3 linked regions of the Astyanax mexicanus genome follow. Each later gene encodes a partner of the first gene's protein in a complex. Links are inferred from orthologs where the notes say so. Each region holds a gene or a part of one and is shown on either strand. Other genes may lie near its edges. The genes, in order: cc2d2a, tmem67 and tmem17.

The links.
Region 2: cc2d2a (region 1) and tmem67 share a complex: the UniProt entries of both Homo sapiens proteins name them as parts of the tectonic-like complex. The link is inferred for Astyanax mexicanus from reciprocal best matches to the Homo sapiens genes CC2D2A and TMEM67.
Region 3: cc2d2a (region 1) and tmem17 share a complex: the UniProt entries of both Homo sapiens proteins name them as parts of the tectonic-like complex. The link is inferred for Astyanax mexicanus from reciprocal best matches to the Homo sapiens genes CC2D2A and TMEM17.

Annotation. Positions count from the first base shown.
Region 1 is NC_064420.1:12,022,685-12,033,613, forward strand, and holds the start of cc2d2a (coiled-coil and C2 domain-containing protein 2A), read right to left. Parts: upstream 5,573-10,929; 5' UTR 5,426-5,572; intron 4,613-5,425; 5' UTR 4,484-4,612; coding exon 4,470-4,483; intron 1,969-4,469; coding exon 1,893-1,968; intron 1,460-1,892; coding exon 1,403-1,459; intron 1-1,402. Other genes in the region: complement C1q tumor necrosis factor-related protein 7, read right to left, coding at 9,089-9,717. UniProt on the Homo sapiens protein: Component of the tectonic-like complex, a complex localized at the transition zone of primary cilia and acting as a barrier that prevents diffusion of transmembrane proteins between the cilia and plasma membranes.
Region 2 is NC_064408.1:110,659,477-110,670,160, forward strand, and holds the start of tmem67 (meckelin), read left to right. Parts: upstream 1-5,901; 5' UTR 5,902-5,925; coding exon 5,926-6,121; intron 6,122-7,791; coding exon 7,792-7,880; intron 7,881-7,973; coding exon 7,974-8,064; intron 8,065-9,192; coding exon 9,193-9,292; intron 9,293-10,177; coding exon 10,178-10,247; intron 10,248-10,684. Other genes in the region: rbm12ba (RNA binding motif protein 12Ba), read right to left, coding at 1,119-2,942. UniProt on the Homo sapiens protein: Required for ciliary structure and function. Part of the tectonic-like complex which is required for tissue-specific ciliogenesis and may regulate ciliary membrane composition.
Region 3 is NC_064409.1:54,420,859-54,432,053, reverse strand, and holds tmem17 (transmembrane protein 17B), read left to right. Parts: upstream 1-6,054; 5' UTR 6,055-6,122; coding exon 6,123-6,237; intron 6,238-6,593; coding exon 6,594-6,697; intron 6,698-6,808; coding exon 6,809-6,922; intron 6,923-7,678; coding exon 7,679-7,822; intron 7,823-7,926; coding exon 7,927-8,025; 3' UTR 8,026-8,204; downstream 8,205-11,195. Other genes in the region: slc15a5 (solute carrier family 15 member 5), read left to right, coding at 321-681, 1,073-1,295, 1,405-1,574, 2,126-2,346, 2,914-3,100, 3,183-3,371, 3,557-3,688, 3,797-3,905 and 1 more; agbl2 (cytosolic carboxypeptidase 2), read right to left, coding at 9,451-9,565, 9,678-9,786, 10,458-10,669, 10,778-10,811. UniProt on the Homo sapiens protein: Transmembrane component of the tectonic-like complex, a complex localized at the transition zone of primary cilia and acting as a barrier that prevents diffusion of transmembrane proteins between the cilia and plasma membranes.

The sequences.
Region 1 (10,929 bases):
GCAGATAGTTGTTGTCTATAAAATATGTGTACCTAGAAAACTAGGGAATGTCAAATCAATTTGATAAATGTTATCATTTCACTGTAGGGGTGGGACAAAATATTGATATTGTGCCCACAGTTAAGTTAAGGCTTTAAGTCAAAGCAAGAATGATGTTAGAGAGTTCAGGATATTAACTTAACTCCCTAACTTATTACAGAGAACACAGTTCCACTGCTCCACAGCTCAATGTGGAGGAGAGGGGGTCTGTAGGCATAGTGTGGATAGGTACATTTGCACATCTGTGTCAACAATATGTGCAACTTAAAGTAGTTCAATGCATTAAGCAGAAGGAGAGTCCACAAATATTTAGGCACATACTGAGTCAAAGTTAGCATTGGAGGGAAAAGGGATTAGAAAGGACTATTAGCTCTACATAGAAAAGAGGTCTAGATCAGAGGTCACACTTCTTATTCACAGCTAACTCTGGCTGCTGGTTTACATTCTTATCAAGCAGAAGAGCTCCTTTTAAAAAGAAAACTAGTGGTGACCCCTGATCTAGTATATTCTACACCAAGCACAATCAGGTCAAGCTTTTAGTGAAGAAGGAAACAAAGCAAAGATTTTTTTTTGCAGGTGCTTAAGCAATGCCACTGAAGAGCCATTTTTGGTTCTATAAAGAATTAGTTACAGGGTTTTTAAATAAAAAAACTCAGTTTGAAAGTGAACCTAAATGTAAACCAGCTGCAACTGTGCATGTTGTGTTCACACAGCAAGTAAAGAGTAATTTTTCCTGGTTTTCTTAAGTATAAATGAGATCTTGGACTACTTTTTGTATAAAACATAATTTTTAGAACTCCAGATCTGATACTTTCAGCACAAATACTGCTACCCTTCCCTTTTCAGAACAAAACATAATAAAACTATTATTATGTTCTCAATTATCTAAATGCTGCAGTCTTTCCACAGTGGTACAACAGCACTTTTCTATTGCACCCACTTTTATTTTTTATATTAGCAACTTTTTATTTAGATTTTCATGTGTGAGATTTTAGATATCTAAATTGGCCAGTCTCAGTTCTCAGAGTCTCACAGTTAAAATTCAGCTACTCTTGATAAGGCGTTTTGAATTTGACAGAATAGCAGCTTGTTAAGGCAAGCCTCCATGTTCTGTGCATTCTTATGAGTTGTACAGAACCTTCAAATTGATAAAGAACCTTACTCTCTTGTAACCAAAAATGTTTCTTCTATGGCATTGCTCAAAGAACCATTTGTGGAACCTTTATTTTTTTAAGAGTGTTGAAAGGACCGAACATCAGGGTAAGAAACTTTGTTCTAGAGCACAGCAGGGCTGTTCTGGAACATGATAGGACAGAACACAGCAATAAATGTTAGAACGCAAGCTGAGGCGAATAGAACCAACCTCCACCGCAGTGCGTTCATTCTCCTTAGTCACATCAGAGTCGGAGGGAACCAAAGCCTAACAGTAGAGTACAGAGAGTACACAGAGCGTCTTACCAGCTTGTGTGTGTGTGCTATGTTTGAGTATGTTAGTATGTGTTCATGCTGCCCCAGCACCTCAATAGGCATGTTGAGTCATGCTCTTTTGCTGAAGTCGTCTGCAGTTAACTATAAACAATGTCTTTGTGTGTGGATTCAGTTAAAGCTGAGTGTGTGAGAGTGAGCCCCAAGCCCCACATTAATGTATACTTTTGTCAGACTTGCAAAGTGTTGCATTTTAGGGAAATCCCATGGATTAATAAACTGACCTACTACTATAGCATGCTGGCTAATAGTGAAAGTACAGTAAGTGATTATACAATTGAACAAACAAAATTAATTTGCAGACAAAAACGATCTATTTCTGAGAAAACATAGAAGCCAAGACTCAACCACACTGCCGCAACACATACCTGAGTGTCATCCTTCACTTTCCCCAGAGACTCCTGCAGAGCCCTCCGTTTCTTCCGCAGCTTGTCCCTCAGATCACTAGGGAAGAGCACTAAACAGTCAGGTGACCTTAAAACTGGAAACTGCACACACACTCTGTGGAACAGTAGGCTGTGGGGTGCGGAAATGCATGCACTAACCTGAAGGCACTGATTTTGAACTGTCAGGATAGAATAAACTATGTGCTCATTTTTTTTCTCCCAGTGTAATCAAACCAGTTATTCACACCAGTGTCATTATTATACCACATAGACCTTTGAAGTCATGCCTCATTCTGTAATACTCATGATTTGGATCTAACATTGATTTTCATTGACAGAAATAAATGTTATATAGTAAATAAATATGTCCAGAGGGTCTAGCACACAAAACACAGGGTTCTGAACAGATTTTTTTAACCACGATATATATAACAAAAATAAAATAAAAAAATAAAAAATAATAATAATAAATAATAATTTAAAAAGGGAATATTTTTTTTAACAGTCAGTTATAAAATTATGTTCTATCTTTCAGTGTGGTTGGAACAAAAGCTTTTACTTTTTCATTTTTTACAAACATTAACTAAACATTTTTCTGTGTCAAAAGTTAACAAGAAAATCAGGAATTGACTTCAGAGTTTTTATCTTCTTTTTTTAAGGTTTTGTACACTTCTGCCAAGATATAGGGCACAAGCGCTATTTTTTATCCTTTTACTTTGTTTCAGTAAAAAGCAATCAAATCACAACTCAATATGTATTTCTCACTTAAATAAGGTTTGGGCAAAAACATGATGCTTTCATGTTTTTAGTTAGCCTGGGTGCTACTATTATTATTATTATCATTCAATGTGCTTACATTGTAAATCTAATATTTAAGACATTAAACCTATACAGGAACACATGCTGAACTATTCAGTAGACGAAAAGTGTGTTTTATACTTATAATTCTTCTAAAAAGCCACATTTATCTTTGAGGACAGATCTGCACACTCTTAGTATTTTAATCTCAGTGTCTTCATAAGGTAGAGTCACCTGGAATAGTTTTCTCAGCACCTTGAAGGATTTTCTGGAGGTGCTGAATAGGGTTGCAGCGGTAACCAGTTTCACGGTATACCATGGTATTAAAATGCACGGTTATCATACCGTGTGTGTTTGCTTATTACCGGTAAAACGCAAGCCAGCGGAGAAACTCACCCGCGCATGCGCAACTCTGCTCCGCTTCAGCTGCTCAGCACACAGCGGTGAGAACAGCAGAAAGTGCATCAGACTAAACAAATCTCCGTCCGGCCAAAAAAAGGCTAAACTAAAATCAGCAGTGTGGGACTATTTCAGAGACCCGCCGAACGCACCCGAGGATGGTTATCCGATTTATAATCAATGTGGCCGTAAAGTCACAGCTAAAGGTGGACATACGTCAAACCTGTTCTCCCATCTCCAAGAACACCACCCCGCCGTGCAGCGCAAAGTATGTGTTTAGTTTATCATTTTAATCTGAACATAAATAAAATCTCTTTGTAGTCGTGCACAACCCATGCGGTAAGCGCCCGCAAAAGCGCTGAGTTATCCGAAATTTGGGCACGCAGGTACAGGCGTGAAGTGTGTGCTACGACGGATTCACGTGTCCGTGTAAAGGTGCTCGCCGGACTGGATGTGAAAGACGCCATTCATTTACATGCGTTAATTTTCAAATTCTGACGTGCCTGTTTTTCATGTGTTAAAACCAGACTCGGTGTGAAAGCCTTAAAATAGAAATCTCTATTGTGAGGATTATGTCAGAAATAAATACCCTCTTTCTGCAGTATCTGGTTATACACCAACTTGTATAATTTAAACTTAAATAATTGTACTGAATAGTTTAAACACAGGATCTTTACTTCTTAGAGGACATGTAATGTGTGACACGTGTGTGTGTGTGTGTGTGTGTGTGTGTATGTGTATATATATATATATATATTATATATATATATTTTTTTTTATATACACCCTTAATGACCTTAAGAGTAGTGGAAAAACCTGGTTTCCTTCACCTAATGGTGTACAGTTTATTTTTTTTAAGGAGACATTATCTATATAGTTGTTCCAGGTTTCTACAATAAATAGTTAATTGAACAAAAAACCTTTGTTGTAATTTCTTTAAGGGTCAGTTTAATAATATATGTAACAAACTGTGATACCGTGATAACCGTGATACCGCGGTATTTTCTGAGACGGTTATCATACCGTGAAAATCTCATACCGTTGCAACCCTAGTGCTGAACAATAGTTACTGCTTTTCCTTTACGCCTCGAAGCTCCAGCTCATCCCAAATCACCAAGCCCATTTTCAGGGTTTAGATCAGGGGATTGTGGAGGACACACTTTTTTGTTTACTATGTAATTCGACTGTGTCCCTTAATTGTTTTCATGTCTGTAATATTAATCTACAATGTAGAAAATAATTTAAATAAAGAAAAAAAATGACTGAAAATAGGTGTCCAATACTTAGACTGGTACTATATTTGGTATCATCATTTCTTCTCTACTACTACTGTTTCAATAAGTTAGCTCCAGTGCTGCTCACCTGGGAGTGGACATGATGGAGGAGGAGGTTCTAGTTTATTCTCTTCTGAATGATATTCAGCCTGTGGATTGTGTTTACTACATTTCAGAGGGCAGGTGAGAGAAGAGTCGAAGCTTTTCTTTGGAGAGAACGACAGGGTTCACCTGAAACCATACAGAGAACAGCATATTTAACCCTTTAACAGGCCAGCATTTTAATCAATGATATTGCACGCATAAATCTTGAGGATTTCTATTCAAGCATTACTAAAGAAAATCCTAACTGTAACTGTACTGGAAATGATTAAAAATATTGTTGAGAAATATATATATATATTTTTGTCAAAATTAGGCATAATGCCTAAAAAATGGTGCTTTCCAAAACTTTTTAAAATCCATGTTGTTGACAATACAAATGATTTTTTTTTTTTGTTCTCTAAACCTTGTGTTTTCAGAATGTAAATAACTTATTTTACTGTAGAGAAAAGGGGTTTGTATCACCTACAGTTGTAGCCCATGTAAGTTACAGTCCAAGGCCTGTTAAGGGGTTAAACCGTTAACGTTACAGCAAACCTGAAGAGTTCTGATAAAAAAAAAAAGATATCTTGTTAACAAACCTGTGAACTGCGTTTAGCAACAGGTTTGACGTTAAAAGTCGCTCATACGAGGAGACATACTGAGTTATATTTCAGTCAGCTCTGTCTAAATACAAAAAATAAAATATGGTTAACGGATAAAAGAGCAAGACTGGAGACAGAAACGGTACCGTTAGGTTATACACAGAGGATACTAAGCTAATCCCGCTGCTAGCTAGGTAAACCTCGGTTAACTAGTGAAAATTACAGCTTTAGCGCGTGTGTTTGTTATCCAGGCGGTTGTTATCGACACTCCGCTGTGATATTTAAAAACTGAGCAGGTCTTATAGCTTTATAAATGCTTTAACACGGTATCTATTCCTGTTTATTTCTCCACACTTACTGAAACACTGAGAGTTAGCCGCCATCCTGTTCCCCCGCTGCCTGGTAACGGTAAATACTTCCCCTCAACCGAACCGCTCACACAGCGCGACACACTACCCTGCATGCTGAAAGAGGCGGGGTCTCATCTCGCGGCCCGTCTTCTCATTGGCCAAGGACACTGTCACTCAACAAACTGCGATGAGGTAAGTTCAAAAGAAAGCTGTGTTTTATCTTGTTCTAAAAAAATGTTTAAAAAAAAGGTAATAAAAACAGAAAAGTGCGTTTTCTGAAAAATACTGAATGAATAAGTAGAAGTGTTTCCCACTTCCATTCAGATTCACTAGTTTGCTTCTAGTGGATACTTGGGCAAAAATGCCCTTGCTAGATAGTTGCTATGGGGATGCTAAGCTGTTGCTAAGATGGTACTATATGGTTGCTAAGCTGGTTACTATGGGGTTGACTCCAAACTGTCAGTAGGTTGTTACTGGTGGTTGCCATTAGTGATGGCATAGTTACTCAGAAAAAGTAATCTGGGCTCTGAGTGGTCCAGCGGGCTAAGTGCTGCCACTATGAATGGGAGATTGCAGGTACGAATCCTGTTCATGTAACTTGCTATCAGCTACTTGGCCTTGATCTCTCTGGGTGAGTACATGGCACTCTCTCCCCACATCACACCAAAGGGTGACGTGGTTCAGCATAAGGCGTCTGTGAGCTGATGTATCTGAACCGAGTCACTGCACTTTCCTCTGAGCTTGTGTCTTTACCCTCCTGGTGTTGGGGCATCACTAGTGATAGCAGGAGTCCTAATGAGAGGGTAAAATGGGATAAAAATATAAAAAAATATATTTATCTGATTACTGATCACCCCTTGAAAAACGTTACATGCAAAAGTTATGTTATGGATTACTTGATTTTCTTTCTTTTTTTAAAATTACTTTCAAGTTACTTTATTAGTGACTTTCAGCCTCTGCCGACATACCCCCCCCACACACACACGCCCACACACACACACAAAAATCTTTGATCAGAGGCAAATCAGCAATCACTTGTAGCTCTCACACTTGTGTAGTATACAGTATTGAAGGACGCTCACCCAGGGTTGAAAGAGTGATCGCAGATGTGTCGCAGACACTAGGCAAATAAAATTAATTAATAAATGTTGTCAACACAGAACAATATCAAATGTTACAGTACCACAGACAATTTTTAATGGTTTTAAACTCCAGTTATAAGTCTTTTCAACATGCCCTGCCTTTATCTCCAGCATCAACTCACCAACCAGTCAGCTCACAGTAACAATATTGCTACATTTACTGGGTAAAATGGAATGACGTAGAATAAGAGAACAACGGATCGAAAGTGTTTCTTCTGTATTTTCTCTTTCCCCTGTTATATCAGGAAAACACTGTTAAATAGTAGAGGGAACTTGTGAGTGAGTCCTGAAGAATGGGGGCGAATTTTAGCTAAAAGCTAAAAACTTAAATTAAAAATAGTATTTCTTTAATTTTAGAAAGCAGAATAATGTATTTTACTAGTAAAGCAATGAACGCATACATTTCCATACAGAAAACAAGTTTTAGGCGCTAGCAATACTGCTACTCTGTGCTGACTGGTTGGTGAGCTGATGCTGGAGTTACAGCCAGTCTAAAATTATCAGACATTTATAAACTTTAACTCTGATTTTGCTCAGTTTCTCCATATTGTTGCTGTCCAATGAAAAACAAGAATCTTCTAAAGAAGAAAAAAACTTCTAAAGTTTTAATAGAAGTCAATGTAAAATGTATTTATTTCAGGTCATTTTAAAGTAGTCAATAAATGTTGGCACAGTGTAAGGGACAGTTTGTGTGTTCAAATTATGTAGTGAACTAAACATTGGACAGCAACAATATGAACCTATTCATTTTGTACTCCATTCAAGAGGTATTTCTAGTTCTGTACATGTTTAGTTTTGCCGTGTTCTCATGACAAAACGTGTCGTTGAAAAGAAGCCAGATAAGTCTGCTTACATGGTTTTCACATGACGCAACAAACCGTGGTTTTACTACAGAGGAACTGATAAAGCACACCCTGTGTTGCCTGTAAGTCATGTAGTGTGAAAGGTACAACAACTGATATGCTGCTATGGTATGCCTGTTGGTTGCTATGAGGATTATAGATAATAATTCTATGGTTAATGTGGTGTTGCTAAGTGGTTGCTATACGGGTGCAATGAGTCTTGTGAAACATTTTTGTTCCAGGATCAGAGCATGTTCTTACTGTTATGATTTACACATACACATACCTGTAGTGTTTTTATTGGCTTGAAAATATGCATTCCAGCTGATGATGATGATCATGTAAAGATGGAAATTCCCCTCTGCATGTTTTATCTGAATACACACCGGAGGAGGAACCAAGGAATATTTACTGTAGGAGGAACCAAGAAATGCACTTTCCATTATAGAGAAGTATATTATATCTACACACTTAAAATGGTTATTTATTAACTCCTCCGTAATGTGTGTATCTCTGTAGTTGGTTTATCCTCATGACAGACTGTGTTACTGACATTTACACTTTTTCTTTGCAGAAAAGAAAAACAAATGATGAGACTTCAAATGATGTGACACCTAGACTTTAGGACTCTTATGAATAAGCTAATGATGCAAGCTAATACATCACAGTTCACACAGCCAAGACTCAGCCCTGCATCCTAAGCCTCCGGAACAGTACTATCTGAAAACTGTCAAAACTGCATTCAAGGGACTAAACATTGTTCGGTTTCAGATCCAATGAACAGAGCAGTAAAAACAATGTAATTTTTTTATAGACTGTACAAAGTTTTTATAGACTGTATTATATATGTATAATGTATAAATATATATATATATATTTACAAAAGTATCTTATGTACCAATGTGTTGATACAACTGTTACAATAAATACAAAATATATGTTCCACCATCAGATTCAATTACAGTAATGTAGACATTATATAATATTTTCATAATTAAATTGTACATTAGTTACCTTATCTTAAGAAATATATATAAAAGCACCACATACTAGACCATGACACTGTACTGAACAAGAAAATGCATTGCATATACACAGTGTTTCTGGGCTAAATAACTGTAAGACTAGAAACTCCAACTTGGTACATGTTGTGTTACATGGGTCCAGGTCTGCTAACACCACATTAAGCTTATCCTTAGTCTAAAATTATTACTGTAAACACTTGTAAATCCTTTTGGGACATGGAAAAATAATGGTACAGACACTTGTCTGTCACAATTTACTATAAATTACATACACTGTGGCAAGATATAGTTGGGAAAAGCCTAATTCTGTGCATGGAAGTGTTTTTCAGCCCTGGTCCTAAAGGTACATTGCCCGGAACAGTTTAGTGTTTTTCCACTGTTTTACTGAATAAGTCTTAGGCTTTTTGTAGTGGTTGGGCTCGCTCTAGTAAGTGAGCCCTCTGAATCAGATAGTAAACAGACCCAAGTGACGGTGTTACTCGAGGCCCCCCTCTGGTGGCTGGAGGGGGCCCTGACCAGGGGCCAATCCTTACACTTTTAATGAGCTAATTAGTTGTATCAGGTGTGCTGGAAGCAGAGTAAACACTATAAAGTGAAGGGCAGTGATCTTCCAAGCCCAGGGTTGAGAAACATCTCTCTAATGAATGCTTCATTATTTACGTCTAAGTGTAATCCTCTGACAATGTATCTAGGTAATTAGTATCTGCATAGAGCAAAAACCCTGAAAAGAGACTGTCCGCCCATCCAGGATCAGTAAACAGACCGTTCTGATCCTTATAAAAGATCTCTAGCCACACTTCATCCTCTGGGTTGAGGTACATCACTGTGGATCCAGAAGCCACGTCATGGTTCCCGGTGTTGGCATCAAAAGTCTTTATACGGAACTCTCCATTCCGCACTAGGCCGATGGCCAGGTGCTTATCAGCTAGTGTGATGTCATAGGAGAAGTAGTAGACTCCTGGGTATGCGCAGATGAATTTGCCAGTCTGCGGGTTGTAGTGCCCACCTTCATCGAAAAGGACCTTGTTGAATTTGATTGGTGACTGCTCAGCTGGGTAGCTGCTGGTGATGCCCACAGAAAAGGCTGATTTGGGCACCAGGCTGCCACAGAGGCACGTGCCTGGGGTGCCCCGTGGTCCCCGTTGACCCTTCTTTCCTCGCTCTCCTGGTGACCCTGGTGGTCCCGGGGGTCCTGAGTCTCCAGCATCACCCTCCGGACCTCGCTTCCCTATGGGTCCTCTCTCTCCACGCTCGCCGAGTTTACCCGTTGGCCCCACTCTTCCTTTAATGCCTGAGAGAACACAAGCAGGACAAGCAGGGGTTAAAATAACAACAAACCAGAATTCATGATCCTGAACATAAGAGCTTATCTTTGAAACACAGTGGAGGTGTCCAGTGTCATGGCTTGGGCTTGCATGGCTTTTTCTGGAACATACCCATTAAACTTTATTTATGTACAAAGGAACTCTAGAAGTCTATAGAAGCATTTTGTCTGTTCGTTTAAAGAAAGTTGCTTCATCGTGCAGCAAGATAATGAACCATAACACTCTAAATTACAAAGAACTACATCAGAAGTAAGAATTGGAAGGTTTTAGACTGGCATAGTCAATCTTCTGACTTAAAACCTATCAGGAATGCATTTTACCTGCTAATGAGGAGTCTAAAGAGAGAAACGCCCCAAAACAAACACCACCTGAATCAGGCTGCTGTGAAAGCCTGGAAAAGCATCACTAAAGAAGACTGCAAAAGTTGAATGGGTCATAGACTTGATTCAGTTATTGCAAGCAAAAGACTTGAACTAAATATTTAAGTGGCAGTCCATATTATGTGTTATATATGTGTATATTGTGTTTAATGGTACCAGTGTGCTGGAACAACCATCCCTGCTAAGACTAATATATATTTTTTATAAAAACTGGGGTACTGGGGAGTTCTTCTGGCCACGTCACATGTCTTTACGTACTTATGCCACATGTACAGCCTCTGAAAGAGGATCCGGCTCAGTTTTACTGAACGTGAGTGGCTGGTGGAGCAATGGAGACTTCAGAAGGGGAAACTCATTCACTCATAGTAAAACCAAAGTGTTTAGTTGAAGTAAAGTTTCTGACTGAGCACGCTCTCTCTCTCTGACAGAACGCAACCTGGAATTGGATTCATCCGCTCTGAAAGGAGACCACATCACATCTGCCCAGTTTAAAATGATTCTTCCAAATGCTTGGTGCAATTATCCATTCTCACCAGAGAGGGCCCTAAATCCCAAAACTTACAGACATCAGCTTCAAGTATTATTTATTTCACTCAAAAAACAAAAGAAAAATGGGTAGGTTCAGACAGATGGTGCTTTTCTGAACTGAGTATCAGATCCAGACGGAAATTAAAGTTGAAATGTTAATGGTTTGTTTTATATTATAATTTTTTAATGTCAAAACAATTTTTTTTCAGTCTAAAACAAAAAAGGAGTTTCCCTCACTGTTCCAACACTTTTGAAGGGGACTGTATGTCT
Region 2 (10,684 bases), on another chromosome or scaffold:
GTGTTCATAGCAGAAAAACAGTAACACAAGCGTAGGGCATTTGGCATCCAGCATCAATGCGTATTATGTGTAGTTTAGTGCTATATAGAACATTTTTGCTTGAGTGTAGAAATTACTACTACTTGTACTAACAAGTCACTTTAGAATCTTTACATCCATCTCAACACTTTACAAACATATTTTGTTGCTGACTAAATAAAAACATGTCTCTCCAGTTGTAATTTATAATGTGTGAAAACTAAATCATAAGGAATGCTCCAAAATGCAGTTATTTTTACAGTACATTTTATACTGTCTTCCATAAATCAATGTTATTTTTCTTCTTTTGTAAAGTTTCTAGTACAAACGACTATACTAGAAAACAAGTTTGTCTTTAGGCAACAACAATATGTCCTGGAATAGTCCAGACCAACACAAACAAAACGTCAGTATCTGTCCACACATGAAGATTTGGCAGCTGTTTTCTCATATACCTCGTTTTTGATGAGCAAACATACAGATGTGGAATTATTTAAAGGCTGTATCTGAAACTTAAACATGGATAGGATTCAGATGCAGTAAGGCACTCAATAACATCTGAATTTATAGTTTGGTAATCAATGTACTTTTTTTATTAGGTGAAAATACTAATGACAGTAAACACTAATATCTAGTATTGAGCTGGCAGGTTATAAAGTCAACTAAGCAATTTCCAGTTTCAGACACAGCCATACCATTTGGCATGAGTGTGTGCACACACACTGCAACCATGAAAATAATTCCACTTGATTGCATCTCAATGCGCATTTCACATTTTTATTACACATTACTAATAAAAAAACTTTTTTTAGAACATTAAACATGTAACATGTTTTAGACAGGAGAAACACAGTTGTGAAATCAAAACCTTTATAGTGACCACTGTTAATTTGGGCAAGGAAAAACACCAGGCTTTTGAATTAAGACTGTACGACTGTGTTTCTCATGCAAATGTGCATTTACATTTAAATGTAAATAGTTTAACACTTTAAGACAAGTGCTGTAGTACTTGCAAGTCTTTTATATGTACAGTTGACAGTTTATTCGTCCAGGCACATTTTGACAGTCCTTCTCCTTGGAATGTTCTCAGAGCTCTTGGTTTAATGTGGTTCCTGCAGAATAGTCTTCATCTGCTGTGGTGAAACACAGGTAAGCATAATTTTTTGTCCCAAAAAGATGTTTCCATGCAGACTGCAAGCTTCTTTGGCAGCCTCTTCAGACATGAACTTGATTACCGCCTCCCCGATACTGTTTCCCTTCTCATCCTTGAGGAGTGTAACATCTTTTTCGTCAATCTGGTACAGACAGAAAAAGTCTCTCACCTCCCCTCTCCGAACATCAGCTGGGAAGTTCCGAGCATAGATACAGGTACGCTCAGACCAGTCTTGTTCTCTGTGATACGCTGGTCTCTGAGCCTTTTTATGTCTTTCTTTGTACATTATGTCCCTCATTTTTTCCATTGTGATGGATGATACATCTAGCACTTTTGAGCCATAATGTGTACCATCCATGTTCATGGCTGCGGCGTAATCCTCTGGGTGCGTAAACATGATGAAAGCTGTGGACGTTCGCTGTCCCCAGCAGTTTTGCAGATGGATGATCTTCTTGTTTGGGATGTGAACACAGCCAAATAGCTCCTTTATCTCGGTTTTGGTAGTTTTTGGAGAAAGGTTCCTTACCATAACGCAGTGCACTTGTCCAGGGGGCTGAGAGTCAAAGCGCTGCCGCTTTGGAGATCCTGAAAGCGACCTGTCTTCTGAACGTCGCTTAAGTGGCGGCGTCCAGGACGAATGTCTGTCTGGAGAGAGGCGGTGGTCCAGTTCTGAGGATGTGGTGGAACAGGGGCCATGTTCATCATCCAGCTCTAAAGCGTAGCTCCACATCCTTTCATAGGCCGTTCTTACCTCCACATAGGAGTCCATGTAGCTCATGTGGCTGTACTTTAGGCCCTCTTCAGCTTGTTTCAAAGTAGCCACCTTTATTAGGCAGCACTGGTCGCGGCCTAGGAAGACATTTGGTATGAAATCCAGCACAGAGAGGCCTTGGAGGAAAGTGCGGACATCTTGTAGGGTCACGTTGTTGGGAAGCCCATAAAGACGAAGATATCCAGGCTCGTTGCAGTTGGTCTTGGCCTTACCTCTCTCAGGTGCTGCTGCTGTTGCTTCTTTTTCTTCTTCAATATGCACTTTTCTCACTGGCTGTGGAATGCTTTCCTGCAGTTTGTAGCTGTGGTTGTAGTTTTTCTTTTTATTGTTGTTGTACGTATGATGGTCTGTTCTTTGATTTGTATGGTTTTTAGAATGGTATGGCTCAGGTAAAGCAGGTAATGGGTGAGAACTGACTGGCAGAGACTGGGCTTGGCTTTCTTGGTTGTTGTTGCTGCTGCTGCTACTGTTGTTGATAATGATGTTGTTGTTATGGTTTGACTGTAATCCTTGAATAGCAGCCACTAGGCCCAGTAGTAGAGCTGTGCCCAAGTCTGTTGGTGACTTTGATGGCTGCGGTTCTGGTGCTGGCCTTGGATCCAATGCCTTCTTTTCCAACTCCAGCTTTCTTCTTTTATACTCTGCTTTCTTCTTCTCCTCCGCCTCTTTCTCCATTTTTTCCTTCTTCCTCTCTGCATCAGACTTCTTGTTTTCCACTCCTGAGCTTCTTTGCTTTTTTAAGCGTAACTCAATTTTATGTTTCAAGTCAGCTATGCTGCTAACCTCAAGGGTTACCGATGATCCCTTGAGAATCTCCCCAGAGCGCTCCATGGCCAGCTGTCCATCTTCCTCTGTGGTAAAAATAATAAAAGCCTCTCCTCTCTTGCCACCAATGATGTGAACTCCACCCTCAAGAATGTGTAGGCCGTGGAAGAAGGCGCGAATGTCCTCAGAGCCTGCATCGGCACTGAGGCCCAGCAAACGCCGCACTATCACCATGATGGCGGGAAACTGCCTCGTCGAACACGTGACACTGCTGAGAGATACAAAACACAAAAGAATACACAGCTTGAGGAGAATTTCAACCCAGAAACCGCATCGGGCGCAGTTTAATCCGCCACACAGCGCGGTACAGCCCCGTGTAGCTGAACCGCAGCCCCCACGAGCCTCCTGCCCCCCTACTTTGTTCCGCAGCAGAAGAAGAACCAGCAGCTCTGAAACACAGAAACAGGAAAAACGGTTCACTGCCAGCTCCTCCACACCCCACTCACCTCTCAGTTCTCCTGAAAAAACGGACACTACTCTTAAACCGCGCTCCAAACACCCGCGTTTATTCACTTCACAAGCTTCACAAGCCTCACAGCGAGCTCAGCCTCAACCTAACGCCTCGTGCTTCAGACAGAGGCAGCGCGCTCTCTCCACACAACTTTTAAAGGGGCGGAGCGGCAGGAAGTGTGCACAGCCAATAGGCGGGGAGGAGGCTTTGCAGGGGGCGGGGCGAACAGTGTCTGGAGAGCCAATGGAACTGTGAATAAACTTTACGAACTTTTAAAGAAACAGAGTTAATATTACTGTGTGAATAATACTAATACTACTACTACTAATAATAATAATATCATATTTCTTAAAATGTAGTTTATTTTCTATTTTATTATGCGCTTTTCGTTTTGTAAATTACTGTATATTTAGTATATTTTTAAGTTTATTCTGCATAATTAGGATATTTTCTATTTTATTCTGTATATTTATTTTCGTGTATTACTGTATATTTAGTATATTTTCTATTCTGTATATTTACTATTGTATATCACTCTATATTTAGTATATGCATTTTTAGTTTATTCTGTATATTTATTTTCGTATATTACTGTATATTTAGTATATTTTTTATTCGGTATATTTACTATTGTATATCACTGTATATTTAGTATATGCATTTTTAGTTTATTTTGTATATTTATTTTCGTATATTACTGTATATTTAGTATATTTTCTATTCTGTATATTCACTATTGTATATCCCTGTATATTTAGTATATGCATTTTTAGTTTATTCTGTATATTTGATATATTTTCTATTTTAGATAGATGCTTTATTGATCCCAGAGCGAAATTCAGTACACATCCAATAGCAGATATACAGTACTCAGAAGCTACAAAAGAAGGATAAGCTATAATAATACAGATAATAATACAACAAGTAGAGTCTTATTTAGTTTGTGTGTAATGATGGAGGTAGTGCAGTTAAAAACAGTAAAACAACAATGAAAACCAGTTGATGTGAAAACTGATGTCAGCCATACAAACAGTGCAAGAACGCAGATGTGTTATACCCAGATTAAATTTAGCAGTGCAAATTTGTAGAGATGTAAACAGTGGGCAATAAATAAACTATTAGTACAGAAAAGGGATAAAACTATAAAAAAATAATATAACAGGGCATATCAGAAGGTGTGTTCACAGAGATGGGGATATGTTGATTGTATTCTGTACTATGCATGTTTGTCCCTTCTAGCCTTTAGCCCAGATGGGTTCATGTGTCCAGCTGAACTATTTCTGAGAATTCTATACATGTTGGAATGTCACATGTGGTTTCAGGTAAACAACGTACCGCTTCTCAAAAGGTCATTTCTATATATATGGTGAAGCTGTAAATAGGGTGGTTGGAATTCTTTAGGTATGCAGAGTACCATATAAGTGACTGTGAAAGAGTATATAAGCTGTTCAAAACACAAGACTGGGAGAGAGAGAGAGAACTGGGACACCGAGAATTGACAAGCTCTCTCCCACACTTTGCTTCTGATTGAAACAAAATATTTTGTTCCGATTAAGAAGGCAGTGTGCACTGAGTATTATTTCAAGAAAGACAACCGTCCAAGAACACCCAAAGAGAAGTCCTGGAAGGACAAGAAGACATAACAATGTCCATTGGAATGACCATAGTGGCCAGAATGAAAAAGTGTCACAGAGTTTTTAGTTTGCTGTACTTAGAGTCTTATGGCCTGGAGGGAAAAAGAGGGAGTATATTCTGTTTATTGAGTCCTGCATAGTCAAGTCAAGTAGTTTTATTGTCAGAACAGTATATGTACAGGACATACAGTGAATTGAAATTGCGTTACTGTCCTACCAAAAGTTACAGCAAAAAAATAAATAAAAAATAAATGCAACGCAATAGTTTATTTTACTATTTAGGGATGGTTTGTGGTATAAAAATACAGTTAATATCAAATATTAAAAAAAAATACAATGAATGAAAAAAAAAATGCATATTTCAGTTCATTAGGTTTCATTTATATATTAAGGACTAAACAGAGATTGAGGACAGAAAATAGCATCCTTATATTTTTCCATCACTGGAACATACAGCACTGGAAAAAATATAACAGACCACTTTACTTTTTGAATCAGTTTCTTTGATTTTGCTATTTATAGGTAAATGTTTGAGTAAAATGAACATTGTTGTTTTATTCTCTAAACTACGGACAACATTTATCACAAATTCCAAATAAAAGTATTGTCATTTAGAGCTTAGAGCTTTTTTGGCAAAAAAAAAAAAAAAAAAAAAATGAAATGGCTGAAATAAAAAAAAAGATGCAGAGCTTTCAGACCTCAAATAATGCAAAAAAAAAAACAAGTTCATGTTCATAAAGTTTTAAGAGTTCAGAAATCAATATTTGGAGTAAAAACCCTTGTTTTAATGCATCTTGGCATGTTCTCCTCCACCAGTCTTACACACTGCTTTTGGATAACTTTATGCCTTTACTCCTGGTGCAAAAATTCAAGCAGTTCAGCTTGGTTTGATGGCTTGTGATCATCCATATTTCTCTTAATTATATTCCAGAGGTTTTTAATTTGGTAAAATCAAAGAAACTCATAATTTTTAAGTGCTCTCTTATCTCTTTCCAGAGCTGTATAACTGAACTAACTGGGAGAGGAAAGGAGTGTTTATCGCCGGAAGGGGCGGGGCTTTTTGTTCTGCACCATGGCGACGGGGACGCTACAATCACCGCTTATTTTCCTCTGCTTTTTCCTCATATTATTGCAGTTTAACCCGTTTTTCTGCGAGCAGTTCTCTATATCTTTCTCTCAGCCGGCGGACTGCGGTCCCGGGGGGTATTTCGATATATCCAGTTTATCCTGCGCGAAGTGTGGAGCGAATCAAATCAGCGGGAAATCAGGTAGAGCTAACCCAGCTAACGCTAACTAAATAACAGCAGCAGCAGCAGGAGCTAGCGGGGCTAACTGCGGGCTAACTGTGGCTAGGTAGGGAACAGGGCTTTTAATTTAGATAATAAAACAGATTCAGGGTATATATCTGTCTGATACAGCTTCTGTTCACTGGTTTACTGTTGTGTTGGGGCTGTATAGCACTACCACCACCATGGCGTTGTTAGATAGTTAGCTAACTAGCATAGCTAACTATTTAACCTAGTTACCTAGATTAACGTTAGTGAAGTTAACCCTCTATGGCCAAACTAAACCTTACAAGTAGGGGTGGGTGGTATGGCCCTAAAATAATACCACAACAATATTTCATGGTATTTTGACGATAACCGTACTGTTGGCTATATGACAAAACACTGAATAAAAAAATAAAGCATACACTACTACAAAATTAAATTACATTTTATTATTGCATATAATATGATATGGCACACCCCTAAAACTTTTTAGCAGATTTGTAACAGAAGTCAATGATCCAGAATGTCATGATACTAATAACGCACTCCATATATCTCCATATATCCAGGATTAAAGTTAAATAAATTATACTGGACAGATATAATCTGTCTCTAGTAGATAATATATAACAATTATATTATTATAATATTGTTGGACTGGAACTCTTTACCACACCTGAGTCCTGCGTGTTCGTTGTATGGAGAATGAAGACTCTCAAGATCAAAAGTGATGTTCCAACGCTCACAAGTTTATTGACAAGTGCCAGGAGAATTTACACTCAGAAAGCGATCAGCATACCCCAGTGAAATTCTCGGCCCCGCTTTGATCTGACCCCTGTTTTATATGAAACTGCAAATTCTGCATCGTAATGTGGACGTGCTTCCAGAACACGTTGCACAGAGTCTGCATTTTATATTGTCATCATCTCCTTGGCCAGGTCCAATCTGGCATCCGGCGATAAAATCATCTGAAGGAGCGAACTTCTGCTTTTTAAGCGCTGAAGAGCAACTGGTGCATTAACATTACTGTAAATGCACCAGAATTAGCCTAAAGGCTATTTTTCATCCGTTGTCCCTGGACAGATCTTGAAATTGTCCACCTAAAAAACAACATGAAGATTACAATGAACAATGCAAATATAAAAGAGCAATAAAACAGATATAACACAGTCTATAAGTTTGCTAAAATACAGCTGTAGCTGAAAAGACAGCTGTTTGAGAACCACTGCTTTATGGCATAGTGTTGCCTCAGGCAACAAACCAAATCTTTTGTTATTACACCATATCATGCCTTATTACATTCCTTCGGAACCATGGAGCAACATGGAACAACAATACAATAGTCAGTTTGTGGCTGTTTGGTGGGTGGGGGGGTCAATTCCGTCTTTGTGTGTTGAGGAGTCTGACTGCCTGGTGGATGAAGCTGTTGCAGAGTCTGGTAGTGGAGGCATGGATATTCCATTGTCTTCTGCCGGACGGCATCAGAGCGAAGAGTGAGGGATGGGTGGGGTCTTCTACAATGCTGGTGGCTTTGTGGATGCAGCCTGTGGTGTAGATGTCAGTGATGGAGGGCTGTCCTCCATCTGCTGTAGGGTCTTGCGATCTGAGCTGTTGCTAACTTTAACTAAGCTTATTATCATTAACCTGAGGTTTGTGCTCTGACACAGGGTTGAGCTGCGTGTGTCAGACAGGTTTCAAGGTGCTAACCAGCAATGGAAGATCAGTCACCTGTCAAAAGTGCCCTGACTCAAAACCGGTATTAATCTGTCCGCTCTGTGTCTTTAAATATATTACCATGTTTATAATATGCATTTAGACAGTTAAACAATAACCCGGCTGTATTTTGCAGGGTGTTAGTCAGGATGGTTACGAGTGTATCCAGTGTCCAAGCGCTGTGGGGGAGGATGGTAAATGTCAGTGTCCTGAAGGAAAAATCCTGGGTGAGTATTTTAGATCGAACAGACGTATTAACAATACATGATGGCTACTTGTGGACATCTTGATCCCATGTTAAATCTGTTCTATGATGTCAACATTAAAATACCTTATACTGTGGTTTAATTTCAAATCCTTATTATATCTTGCTTTTTAAACTTAAAGCTGAACATTTTTAATACCCCAGAAGACATACAAACAAAGCACACTGATGTTTGATATACATTATTTGGTATTTTTGTTGTGTTTGATCAAATAATCTAATTAAGCGGATATTTGGTGCATCCCTAAAATATGCATAGCCATGCAACATGTCATGACTAGAAAAAAAGGGTTTACTTGCACATTAAAATCACATAATGGACCCTTTATTTTTTACCAGTGTAGAACAGACAGGACACTGAATACACACAGCGTGAAAGAATGTCAGTGAGGAGCACATTTGAATAGACAGAGGAAAAGGTTCGGCCTTGGAGGACTCTTTTATTTTGTTTCAGGCTTGTCTTTATCTTTATCAGAGCAGCCTTCAATATTGTATTCAGTGGTGTTGTATTCTGTGGTGCAAGTGCATAATGTGTTTTTATAAATATCTGCACTATAACACTATAATCTGTGTTTTTGACAGCAAGGGTTTCCTGCTTGTACAACTCCTATATCCTAAATGCATGCAGTCTCTGTCTGATGCTGTGATTTAAACATTAGCTGTGGTACAAGGTCACAGTGTAGCCATTATGTGGCAAAAGAAACATATGAATCCATTATGAGTAAAAGCATGCTTAAAACAGTAAAATAATATTTATGTTATATCAGCACTTCCTAAAGTCTATTAGTCTTGCAATATTGTGAAAACTCTAAATATAATGTTATGACTTCAACCACCACAAATATATAGCCACCACAGTTAGAATCAATGGTGTTCCACTGACATGAATATAGTAGAATAGCTAGCATCCACACATGCACACTTTCGCTGAAAGCACTCAATGATTAAATGTAAATTCTATCAGATATCTATGTTTCTGTATTTTTGTGAGAAAATAGTTTTTGTATAAAATACATTTTTAATTATTCAAAATAATAGATTTTTGAATTAAATAATTAAATAATTGTGTTTTAATTATTGTGTTTTTTAGTGGAAAGAAATGTGAGCGGGTCTCTTCTACAAGAAGCTGTATGTGAGGCCTGCATTGGAACAGAACCAGACTTTTCTGCCCCAGATGCCAAAGGCAACAGGTGACCTTGTCCTTTATAGCCTTTAGTAATGACTACATGTGTACCATTACATTAACATTATTTATGAAGGATTATGTGGTACATGGGAGTGGTACATGGGGCCCACAAATGACTTATTCTTGGATCCCTGTTAATATGAATAGTTTGGTAAAGAATCAGTATAATATGTTTTCAATGCAGTTGATCAGACAAGACATGTTTGGTATGTGAAGTTAGCTTTTTTAGTTTAGAAATGGGGATGCTGTAATGACAATATATTTCCGACTCCATTCCTCAGTCCTTTTTAAAGGCTTAACAATCTTAGACAAGTTTCTTTAAAAATAGCATAGAAATATTGTCCTTTTTTAAGCAAACCAGTATTATCATGAAGTAATACTTATAAATATAGTTGATGTCCAACAAGATGTTCAGCCACTTCTGTGTAGTGCTGCCACTCCCATACTTCACTATTAAAGATCTTCACGTTTACCATGAGTGTTGCGCACAGATTGAATTTGGCATATGCCTTTAACCCAGCGGTGCAGTAAACACACACATACTCACCGTATGTACAGCCTTCACTGTGGCACCTGCAGATCAGTGAGTGTTAAGGCTTTTGCTTAAGGGCCCAGCAGTGGCAGCTTAACTTCCTCGGGCATTTAACCCACAAGACTCATCAATAACCCAGTGCTCTAACCATTGAGCCACTATAGTGTTTGTTGATGACTGGACAATCGTACCTAACTATATTTTGCTATTTTTCTGCCTAAGAATATTTTTTAATTAAATATCAAATTTACTTATTATCTCATCACTCTTAATAAGGTTTTTTTATACTTTTGTAATACACTTTATATATGAGTCGCCTCTTCTCTTTTTGGTTATATTGTGCATTTGTGTGTCTAGGTGTGTGAGATGTCAAGACTCCTTCATCAACACCACTCAGTCATGTGTGTGTGGGTCCCCGAACATCCCGGTAAGATTTTTTTGTCTTTTACCTTTCCCTTATACAGACAGATACATTGAAATTAATTTTCTTGGGCACAATAAAAAAAAATTAAATGAAATGTTTAAAAGAAGTCTGAATAATGAACATGAACATTTTTTGCAGGCTTTAGTTACTTCTGCAATTTTTATCATTAAATTATCTTGCCTTCAAAGAAAAAAGCAAAAGCATATTTCAAACTATTTATTAGACAGTTTTAACAACCCAAAAGCAAAGCATATAATAAATTTGTCAGTAAAATTGGTGCAGTCTTTTCTCTGAAAAAGTTTGATGGATGGATTTTTGTTGCATCCCTACTACTTAATACACCAGGAAGGCCCTGTAATGTATGCTATTAGGATGAAATGCTTTTAAACAGAGTAAACTATAGGAAATGTATTAGAATGTAGAAGTGCTGTGTAAAGATG
Region 3 (11,195 bases), on another chromosome or scaffold:
CAAAAATATCTCACACACTCCTGACATCACTTTCATGTATAAAGGCTTGTGTCACCACACTGGCATCATGTCCACCACCCTAATAAGCTGACTCAGAAACCAGCAGCAGCAGTCAGTTCATACTCTAGTGAGGAGAACAGGTGAACAAACATTACTCAGAAGTCACAGGAGAAGATCAGCATGAGCTTCTGCACGTGTAGATGCTGGCAAATAAGACTTCACAGTCCTGTGAGGAATTGCTTTGTTGTTTCCCAGATTGGATAGAGAAGATACTGCAGTGCTCAAGCAGCACTTCACACAGGAGGACCTGAAGAAGCAGCATGGCGTCTCTCAGTGTTCCTGGCCTCCATGGTGGCCGTCAACTGCAAAGGGTCTCGACCGCTCGACGCCCGAGTGGGATGGTCACCCCATATAAGCCTCGAAAGTCCAGAAAGAAGCTGCAGGTGATTATCTGTATTCTTTTTGTGGAATTGTTCGAGAGGTTCACCTTCTTTGGGATTGTTTGCAATATGATCCTCTTTTGCACCATCAAGCTGGGATATCACAATTACCAAGCTGCCACAGTCAACCTGTGTTTTGTTGGAGCCAGTACACTCACACCTGTTCTTGTGGGCTGGTTTGCAGAGACGTGTTTGGGGAGGACAAAAGTACTCTATCTTTGCGCTCTGCTCCATTTTATAGGTAAGTTGACACTGTTGTTATTAAGAAACAATGCAAAAAAATGTATGACTAAAATATGTAGAAAAAACTTACAATGTGATTCATGTATGTGTTGATTAAAATGTGTTTTAATAATTTGTTTAATGTGTGTTTGTTAAAATGCAGATTGTATCAGCATTTTTAAGGTCTGTACAATGCACACGGTTGTGGTAAATGTTGTTACATGAATCAGATGTTATATGGTCACGATGGAGAACATGTTTGGAGTGGTATATCAGATACCACAGCATGGGATTTGCTGAAGGCATGTAGACTCCTGTATGTCAATATATTCCAAGAGTCCAACACTGTCTTACAAGCCTTGAATGAATAACAATTCACATTACATTAAGTCCTGATTTTCTGTCCATAGGTACTGCCATGCTCCCTGTTGTTGCATTCCCCTTTGAGGATTTCTACATTGACACACACAATATTATTCACCGACTAGAGCCACGAGAGCAACAGCTTCTCTTCTACGTTGGGCTGCTAGCCGCTGCCCTGGGTATTGGGGGCTTCCGTGCTATTCTATGCCCGTTAAGTGCCTATTACCTTCAGGGTTATGACCAACACCAGATACTGTCCTTTTTTAATTGGTAAGACATTAAATCATTAACTATAGATAATTAAGAGCAAATCAAAATGCTTGTACATCTCTGGAAGGTTATGCTATTGATGTAAAACTGATGGTATTTATAACCACAGGCTCTACTGGCTTGTGAATCTCAATTCTACAGTTGTGTTCCTGGGGATCTCCTATATTCAGCAGTCTGTGGGTAAAAACCTGGGCTTTCTCATTCCCTTCACCTCTGTTCTATTGGCTCTTGTTGCGATACACATGGCACGCAACAATCTCATCTTTCATCCAAAGAAAGGTAATGGACTAACAAACACATACAGATAAACAGATATACAAATATACACAAATAAAATAAATGTGCTGTTTATATAATTCTGCATAGATCAAAACTTCTGCAATAAATTATATGCAATAGATGGTATTCATTGGAGTCCTGTTTCTGCCAGAACATGTCGTTTGGTCAGACTGAAACAGCCAAACCAGCTATGAAACAAGTGGTCATGTGTTTAAATTGAAGGCCGTTGGGCTCTAGAGCAACAGACCAATTAGAAACTAGAAATTAGGTTTCCTTACATTGTTATGTACATTGATTTCAACAAGTTTTTATATTTAATCACACAAGGGCTCTTTCCCATTTTGTGTCTTCACAGCATTTACAATGAACGCTAATGCTGCCACTCAGTATACTGCCACTGGGCATAATCACACAGACTCTCCCCAACTGTGATATCATATGTGTACCCTCTATATATAGATGACACTGAATTTCACATAACAGTATTTGATCATTGTGTCTTCTTCTCTTCCTTCATTCCATTGACCTTTCATGTGTGGGAAAACACACAGCCAGTTTGTTGCTGACCACACTGGGTGTGTTCCTAAACTCCTTAAAAATGTCCTGCCTCCATTATCGTCATTTGAGTGGAGACGTGAATAATTGGCTGGACCGTGCCAAGGAGAACAATGGAGGACGCTACAGTGAGACCAGTGTTGAAAATGTTAAGATCCTGGTTAAGCTTTTTCCTCTTTTTGGACTGCAGCTGCTCTACCGGGCTTGTATAACCCAAGTAAGTATATATGCGAAACAAAATTTTCTGTTAATGTTTGTTACACAATAAAAAGGTGTTTGTACGATTTGACCTAAACTTCCTATAATTGCACCTATAAAATACAAAATAAGTGGACAAAAGTACTAAAACCCCTGCTCCTGTCCAGGGAAATCTATTAGATTTTGGAGCATTGCTGTGAGGATTTGATTGCACTTATACCCCTCCAGTCCACTACTGGCATTAGGCATAGTGCCAATAGATTCACATTTAGCTGCTTTGGAAAAATTCCTATACTATTGGTAGCACTCAGGGACTAGACAAGCAGTTTATATATGTCCATTTGTACATTTGTGTCAGCAATAGCTGCAGAAGGGGTGTCCACAAACATTCAGACATATCGTTTCCACCACTTGTACATAAACTGATCTTATACATAATGTAATGATGAACATTTAATCTTCAATTATTATTATTATTATTATTATTATTATTATAATTCATATTATCTCTGTTTAGGTATTATCTCTGAGCGCAGATGTCCATTCCACAGTTGTATAACCAATAACATAATTTGCATCTTCACAGATTCCATCAGGATACTACCTCCAGACCATGCATTCAAATCTGAACTTCAATGGTTTCCTCCTTCCTATAGCAGCTATGAATGTGATCAGTATCCTGCCATTGCTAATTTTAGCACCACTACTGGAATTTTTTGGCACCTGTTATCAGTCTTTGAAGAAAACACCTCCTTCTCCAGCCAAATTCATAAGTATGCATGTCCAATGAATTATAAGTAAGTGTGACAGGTATGGAGTGTAGTAAGCTCTACTTTGTGACATCTTTTCTTGCAGCAGCGGGACATGCCTGTGCAGCTCTGTCTGCACTAGCTGCAGGGATTACTGAGATCCACAGGAAAGACTTCTCTCAGGTGGAGCAGACACTGTCAGGAACAGTACTACAGGTGTCCTCAATGGCCTGTTTTCAACTTGCACCTCAGTATGTCTTACTGGGTATAGCAGAAGCATTTGTCACACCAGCATGTAAGTATGCATTTTAATAATGTGCAAAACATTAAACACTAGGTCCTATTACTGATTTCCAAAAGATTCACAGATTATTATAAATAGACCCAAACTGTCTAGCTGAAAGCAGCTCATCTCTACTATGTCACTGATATCCTTGATTCATGTAATTCATGCTTTTTTTCTAATCCTTTTACTTTTAGGCTCCCTCATCTCTTTCTGTATGACTCCTAGTAACCTCAGAGGCATCTCCCTACACTTCCTCACTCTCTTCTATGGAGGAGGATGCTTTCTGGGTGCTGTTCTGACTCAGTTCTTTTATCTTGTTTCTGGGGGTAAGGCTTTCTCAGCATTTTGTTAACACAAAGCAAAAACTCGGGGGCAATGGTTCATCAGCCACTGCTAATAAAGAATCATTTTCATTTGATCATTTCTGCCTTTAGGGAACTTCTATCCAAATACACTCAGCGACGGCAATCTGGAGAGATTTTTCTTCACTTTGGCAATTCTGATGACCATAAATACCCTGCTGTTTTGGAGATTATCTTGCAGGTAGGCTACAAATTCATATTTTGTTGTATCATAGGAGCCCTTAGTGTACACTGGAAACACATTATCAATACCAGAGTTTGTTCATTCTGACCTATAAGGTATGAAATGCATCAGGAGGTCTACTTAAAGCAGCATTAGTAACATAGTATTTTTAGTCATTGGCTTAACCTAAAGGTGAATAATCCATTATGAGATACTGAACCATCACTTAAAGTTGTAGTAGCATGTGAACTGAGTAGTACTATTACAGGATTTTACACAAATATGTGTCCTGCTCCCTTCACCAAAGATACATAGTGATACCATTTGCTGAGCCTGGATTAGCAAAAATATGAACAAAAGTCTCAAAAAGATAGCAGTGTTGTACTCTGTTGTTAAATCCCACTGTTCTCACTGCATAAAAAGTAAAGTTTTGTTTTATTGTTTTATTCAGATTTAATACATATAATAGTGTTTTATCTATGACAGATGTTATTTATTGTAAATTATTTAATTTAAACAATTCAAATATATCCCCTTGCATACAGTATAACAATACATCTATGTACTGAATTGTAACCCCTGTATCGTGATACGTATGGTCTCTGCATGTTCTTTACAGCCCTAATTATCACAACAACAATTAATTTAGAGCAGAATTAATGCAGCTTAGTAGACCTGGCATACATGGACAAATAAGCAAAAAGTATGTTTTGCAATCTTTTTAAGCAGGATTGAAAAAGTGTGGTACTGTATGAGCTATACAGCTTTAGTGGTTTGGCTGTGGGAGTTAAATCCTTGCTCCAGTCTCTCTGTGTTTTCCATATGAACCCTCCTGTGTTTTTTCCTATCTCCCAAAAACATACCAGTAGGTGGGTAGGCTATTCTAAATTACAGCTAGATATGAGTAAATGGAGTGTGTGTAGTACCCTGAGTTACACTGGCAACTTCTCTAGTAAGTATTCCTGCCTTGCACTCAAAAATTCCGCCCTCACCATGACGAGTGAATGAAATGGGGAAATGGGTCCTTAACACATCTGATCTACCTAAAACATGAACATAAAAATGTATGTAAGGTATGTCAAGTTTTAAGACAGAAAATGTAGACTTGTAGGTTGATACACAGAAGCATGGTTGTGCAACTAATTCTGACAGTATTGTGTTGATACTGCACATTGTTTTTTTGTTGTGTTGTACAGGTACACAGACCTGAGTGCTGAACTGTGTAAAGAAGTAAGACAGAGTCACCTGGCTGAGAAGCTCCTGCAGCATAAATCTTGTCTCCGATTCTACGACACTGTGGATTACACTGGAACATCAGCATCCTTGGAAATGATCCTCTGACTCCTGCATGATGATGGTCAAGCCCCAAGATGCTGGCGTCACACAAACATGAAAGACTTAATACTGGCATACATAATTTAGGATTTTGCTTCCTTTTTCCTCAAAACTGTGCTAGTGAATTGGTTAATGTAACTGAGCCATTTTAAATCTACAATAAAGTTATTTTGTAATATGACTTTTATGAGGAGATTCTTCTATCTTATTGTTCTTATTTATTTAGGTTTTTAAAAGCCATCGTATGTAAGCTAACTAGGTTCATGAACAGTGGTGGACAATAGAGAAGTAGCCTGTGTATTTTGTCACTGTACTATTTCCTTTGGTTACCTTTGGTTTATATGTGCAAAGCAAACTCACCAATCAGGGTAGAGCATGCACTTTATTATGTTTTGACCTGTTGGCCATGGCTACTTAGTGCCAGCTTAAAGTCAATGCAGTGGTGTGAAATTTTGGGAGTGTCTCTGCCTACATGAATGATGGAATATATGGAATATATTGATGTAATATATTAAATATTAGTAAATATAGTAAAGGAAAACTCATCTGTGAACTTGAGTTTTAAAGGAATTGTTTAAATCTGTTTTATGTTTTTTTTTACCTTTATCTCTACCTTAAAGGAGACATTTGGTGTGAAATAGACTTGGAGTGTAGTGAAACATGATTACAAGTAATTGGATTATATTCCAGAGCTTTACAATTTGGTAAAGTAAAAAAAACTCAACATTTGTAAATTGGTTTTAGACTGACTTTTGTCTGGATATGTTTGTCGGACCTGGCAACCCTGATTGCAGAGCTACAGCAAGTACAGCGGTTCCCTGCTGAACACGCCCACAGCTGTTGCTAGGAGATGATGTTCAGCAGTTAGCGTTAGCGTCAGGCTGAGATGTGTGCTCCATCATGGATCTACCGGAGCCCATAAGAAGACGTTTGGGGGATTTTTCCAGAACTGTTTTCGTGGATCAGACATTTTCTAAACTTACCCCTGAGGATCATGTCAAATTCCTGAATCAGAGTGAGTCTGTCCTGATATCCAACTGTGAGCTAGCTGGGTTACATCTCATGCGTGCTAACTAGCTAACCGCTAAAACAATAACATCAGCTAGGTTAGCGTTAGCTTTGGCAAAGAAGCTGCAACTAAACTTCTAAAAAGGAAAATGAACCTCACTAACGTTATCTGGCGTGCAAAGCTGAACGCACATGAGCTACTGTGTATTTATTGTCGTGTTTTAATTGGCTAAACCAGCTTAGCTAGCGTTATCTAATTAATTAACTAGCTTACAGTTCAGTGTAGTAACCTAACGTTAGCTGTTAAATGTGGTAGACTAGACACTCAGTTCTCCCCACTCTTATCATGTATTCACTATACAGACAGAGAAGTCGTGTCCAGTTTGCCGCTTCAGATGTCCCTTTTCTTCAACCTATGGTTCTTTCCTCTGTGGTGGATCAGTGAAGTGGTGATGCTGCAACTCAAAGTAAGTAATCTAGCTAGGTTAACTAACGCTAGTTTGGTAACTGTCTGACCTGGATGTATGTAGTAACTAACCTAAGTTAGTGAAGGTAGCTTACCTTGTATTCTGTTTTAGTACCCAGCCCTTCCAGACTACTACAAGTTCATCTTAATTACCGTCCTGATTTTAATGACCCTCATCGAGGGTATCAGACTCTACCTGGGTTACGCTGGGAACCTGCAAGAAAAGGTAAAGACTTCTCTAATGTAATATCCATACGCATCTTTATTGAGAATCAATGTCAAATCTGGTTTATTGTCAGATCACATTAGGTGTGCAGGTAAGTTAAAAAAAACTTAAGACCACAATAGCTATATACAAAAAATATATATATACACGCAACATACATTGAACATAATTTTTTTTATGAATTATTAAATTTATTTTATACATTGTAAATTAATGTTGAAGGCATTTAGGGACACACAATGAATTATGTAGTGGAAAAAAGGGGTTTGGCCTCCACAATCCCCTATCCTAAACCCAACTGAGATGGGTGATTTGGGATGAGCTGGAGAAAACGATTCCAGGTAATACTACCTAATGAAGCCACGGAGAATATACCAAGAGTGTCCAAATATATCCTCAAAGCTAAATAATAATTGTGACTACTAAAGTAGCCTAAAATATATTCTGGTTTGTTTCACATTTTTTGTTTGCAAAATAACTCCACATCTTCCTGTATAGCTTTAATGTCTTCAATGTTAAATTTACAATGTAAAAAAAACATAAAAAGAAAGTTAACACATTGAATAAGATGTGTGTCCAAACTTCCTGACTGGTACTGAATATAAACTATATACATGTGTAACATTACTCTTCACATATAGACAATAAATAAAATGTGAAATCTAAATGTATGTAACAGCATTAGTGGAGAGAGTAAATAAAATGCAGGAGCTTTTTGTTTGGCAGGTAATAATCAAACATTGTTTCTCTTTGCAGGTTCCCGAACTGGCTGGATTTTGGCTTCTAAGTCTCCTTCTTCAGTTTCCATTGACTCTCTTCCTGCTTTTTAATGAAGCTATACTCATTCAACCTTTGGAAAGAGGAGTGCATATCATTCTCGCTCTATTTATTTTAGCAGAGGTATGGGCAGCACTCTCATGGGCATCCTTTAATTCAATTCATCCTTTTTTTAATTAATTTTTACTCATTTGTGTTTGATGTTTTACCCCAAATATCATTCACAGGCTCTCTCTGGTTTTGTTGCCCTTCGTGCAATGGTCAGGAACACCGAAAGCCGCTTCCATCTTCGGCAGTTTAATGGAATTCAAGAACTTAGAGCATAACGAATGCTTCTAAATCTGAAGATCTGCACACGTTTAAAGAACCAAAGTGACCATAAATAGCATTGGTGGGAAATATTTCGGATCATTCTCTAACAATTTTTTTACCAATTATTTTTGTCATAGTATTTTTTTGTAATTATTTGTATATATTTTTTTATTTAAAAATATATTAAAAAGTACACATTGTCTGTCTTACTTCATATAATATGAAAATAAAAATAGATGCCTAGATTCAGAAAGGATATACAAATAATGGAAGATGGAAAGGTTGCATCTAATGTTTTAAGTATATTAAGCATAAATACATTTCTTCACAATATGTTCTGTCCATTATGAGAAAACACAGCAGTCACGTCACATCAGTGTTTTTTATTAAAATAGCTGAAAAATACATAATTGTCTCAAAAAGATGGTAAAATATGAAACCTGTCTACAGCTGAACAAAGACACAATAGATGTTTCTGTACTTCATGGCCTACATTCATAACCTGGCCTGCATCATTTTTGTGTATGTTCCTTTTTTAGGTTAAGTTTGTTTAGATAATTTTAAGACTCTACTTAGTCAATAGTAAACACTGAGCAAATTCGACAAATATCAAATCGGTTGTGTTTAACTAGTAACAACTAGTTATATTTGCCAATATATGATATCTTTGTGTTATCAGAAATTATGTAAGCAGTGAAAGTGATTACCTGTCATCTGTCTCAAAGCAGTATTGGATGCTTTTGGTTTAGTCACAGCTTAGGGTATGTGTTAATATTTAATAGATACTAGCTACTGTATACATACTTATTTGTGTGGTTCAACCCATTTTTAATTTAGTTATGCATAAATCTGAAACAACTAGCTGACATGTAAACTTGCGCACAGCTGGTGCAACCAGCCCCTGGAGAGAAGAAGTACCAATTGTGAAACTTAATTTAGAGCCCTACTTATGTTTTCCTTGACTTTAGAAACAAGCACAGGTCCTAGACCATTACGTGTACTCTGAGATGTTTTAGAAACACTCCTTTTGCTTTACCAGCCATGACATGCTGTACTATTGAAGTATTCCTGACATGTGTGTTTTTGCCTAGAGGTAATGATAAACATGCATACACCAAGACGCTCTTTCCTAGAATATCGCTGATTTGAACCTTCTGCAGACCTTCTGAATCCATCGTTTCTTTGTTGTGTTCTGCGCCTGCTCCTTATGCGGTGTTAGCCTTTTCCAGTAGTATATTTCCGAAGTCTCTGTACAGCATGCTTCCTCTCTGTAAACAGGTACAAAACAGAGTTCTTGCATTACTCTTTGCCTTAGCCTAAGATATAAGAAGAAACTAATCCCCTTAAACTGGAATGACTACTTTTGCACTGGTCTTTATAAGGTGCTAACTCAAAATAAAATAAAATAAAAGCAAAGGATATAAATCATATACCTGCCTTCACTCTGCTGGCCCAGGTAAAGCTGCATCTCCCCAGGGTGCCGACTGCCTTGCACTCCCTTCTGGCAACTTGCCCAGTCTGAGACCTCCTAGTCCAGCCTGGTCACCTGAGGGCCTGTCATGACAATAGTTGTGAGGCATTCCAGTATACAGCATTCTGGTTTAAAACGCTACGAAAATAAGAACCATGTATAATTTTAAAAAAAAGGAAAAAAGCTGAAATAAACCTCTTGTTAATTCTTCTTAGATTAGGTAAAAAGGAGACGTCATTTTTCTCTTGCTTACTGAGCTGCTCTGCTTCATTCGACTGCATAGAGTCCGGCACAATTACAGGAGCTAAGACAAGAAAGAAAGAAAAAAATAATAATAAATTCTAGTTTCTACACTTGACACATATTAGAGCCCCACAGGACCAACACAAAGTAGGTATTCTTTGGACACTGATGTGTGTGGTGTGTTAGTGTGTGTTCTGGTATATGAATAAATCTGACACAGCAATACTGCTGGAGGATTACCTGCACAAACTGTGCAGCAACAAATGAGCTTCTGACTTTACATCTACAAGATGGACCAATTAGGTAGGAGTGTCTAACAGAATGGACACCATGTTCAAAAACTCCAGCAGCACTGCTATATCGAATCCTCAATCACACCGGAACAACTCACACTAATACACCAGCACCACCCTGTGGAGTCCAGACCAGTGAAGGACATTGTGAAAGAAGGATAATAAAGTTTGCACAGACACAGAAGGACCACATTCTGTAATTATAAAACTACTAAGTGGTTCTATATGATCATTGCAGCTTATATGATGTGCAGTAACAAAGAGGCTGTTTTAATGTTGTGACTGATGTACATAATGTATATAACAAGCACCCTATTTACAGTCTGTGACCTAATTTTATATGGTGTACCAGAAACCAGGTGCATTTAGACAGAACTTAGACAGACTTCCTTGACCAAATAATCTCTCCAGTTCTTATGTCAACACAAATCTTACTTACCTAGTGTGTTTCTTTTACGAATAGTCTTTAGGCTGCCGATAGTGTCCTGTATTTCCGGGGCGAAGTATTTGAATGAAATACTTTCTTGTGCAAGCTTCTGCTGGTTGTCAGTGCGGGTTGGATATAAGTCAGCTGAGGTGCAGGGCTCCAGGCCTCTGGCAGGAACAAATTCTTGAATAACCCTGAACTGCCTTTGATCATTAAGTACAGCTCTACACAATATGACAGGGATGAAGAACAGATCAGAGCTGAATACAGAACATTACCTTCCAGACACCACTATGAAAAACATACATAAGTGATGTTAATGGAGTACTAACCTACGGAGTGAGATGTTTGATACAGAGCACCTCCCTGTAAAAAATATAGATACAAAACTTAACTGTTGTTTATCCTATAAAGAACAGTAGATTTCATAATTTACTTTAAGTAAAAGAATATATGTAGACTCAATTTACACTTTGTGCATCTTCCATATCAGGATTACGCCTGGGTAAGGCCAAGCCACATAAAAATGCAATTGTATCCACACTCAGCATGCCGTTAAAACAGACACAAATGATATCTGGCTGATTTGATCTGCATATTATAGCAGTATAAACATATCAGTCTCTCCAGGAGTGTTCAACAAACACTAGTAACAATTGCTGCACAATGAGTGAAATTGCATATGCAGTCCCACACAGCAACAGTATTTCAGTCTTATTCAGACTAATTCGTGATTCATTTGACAACCAA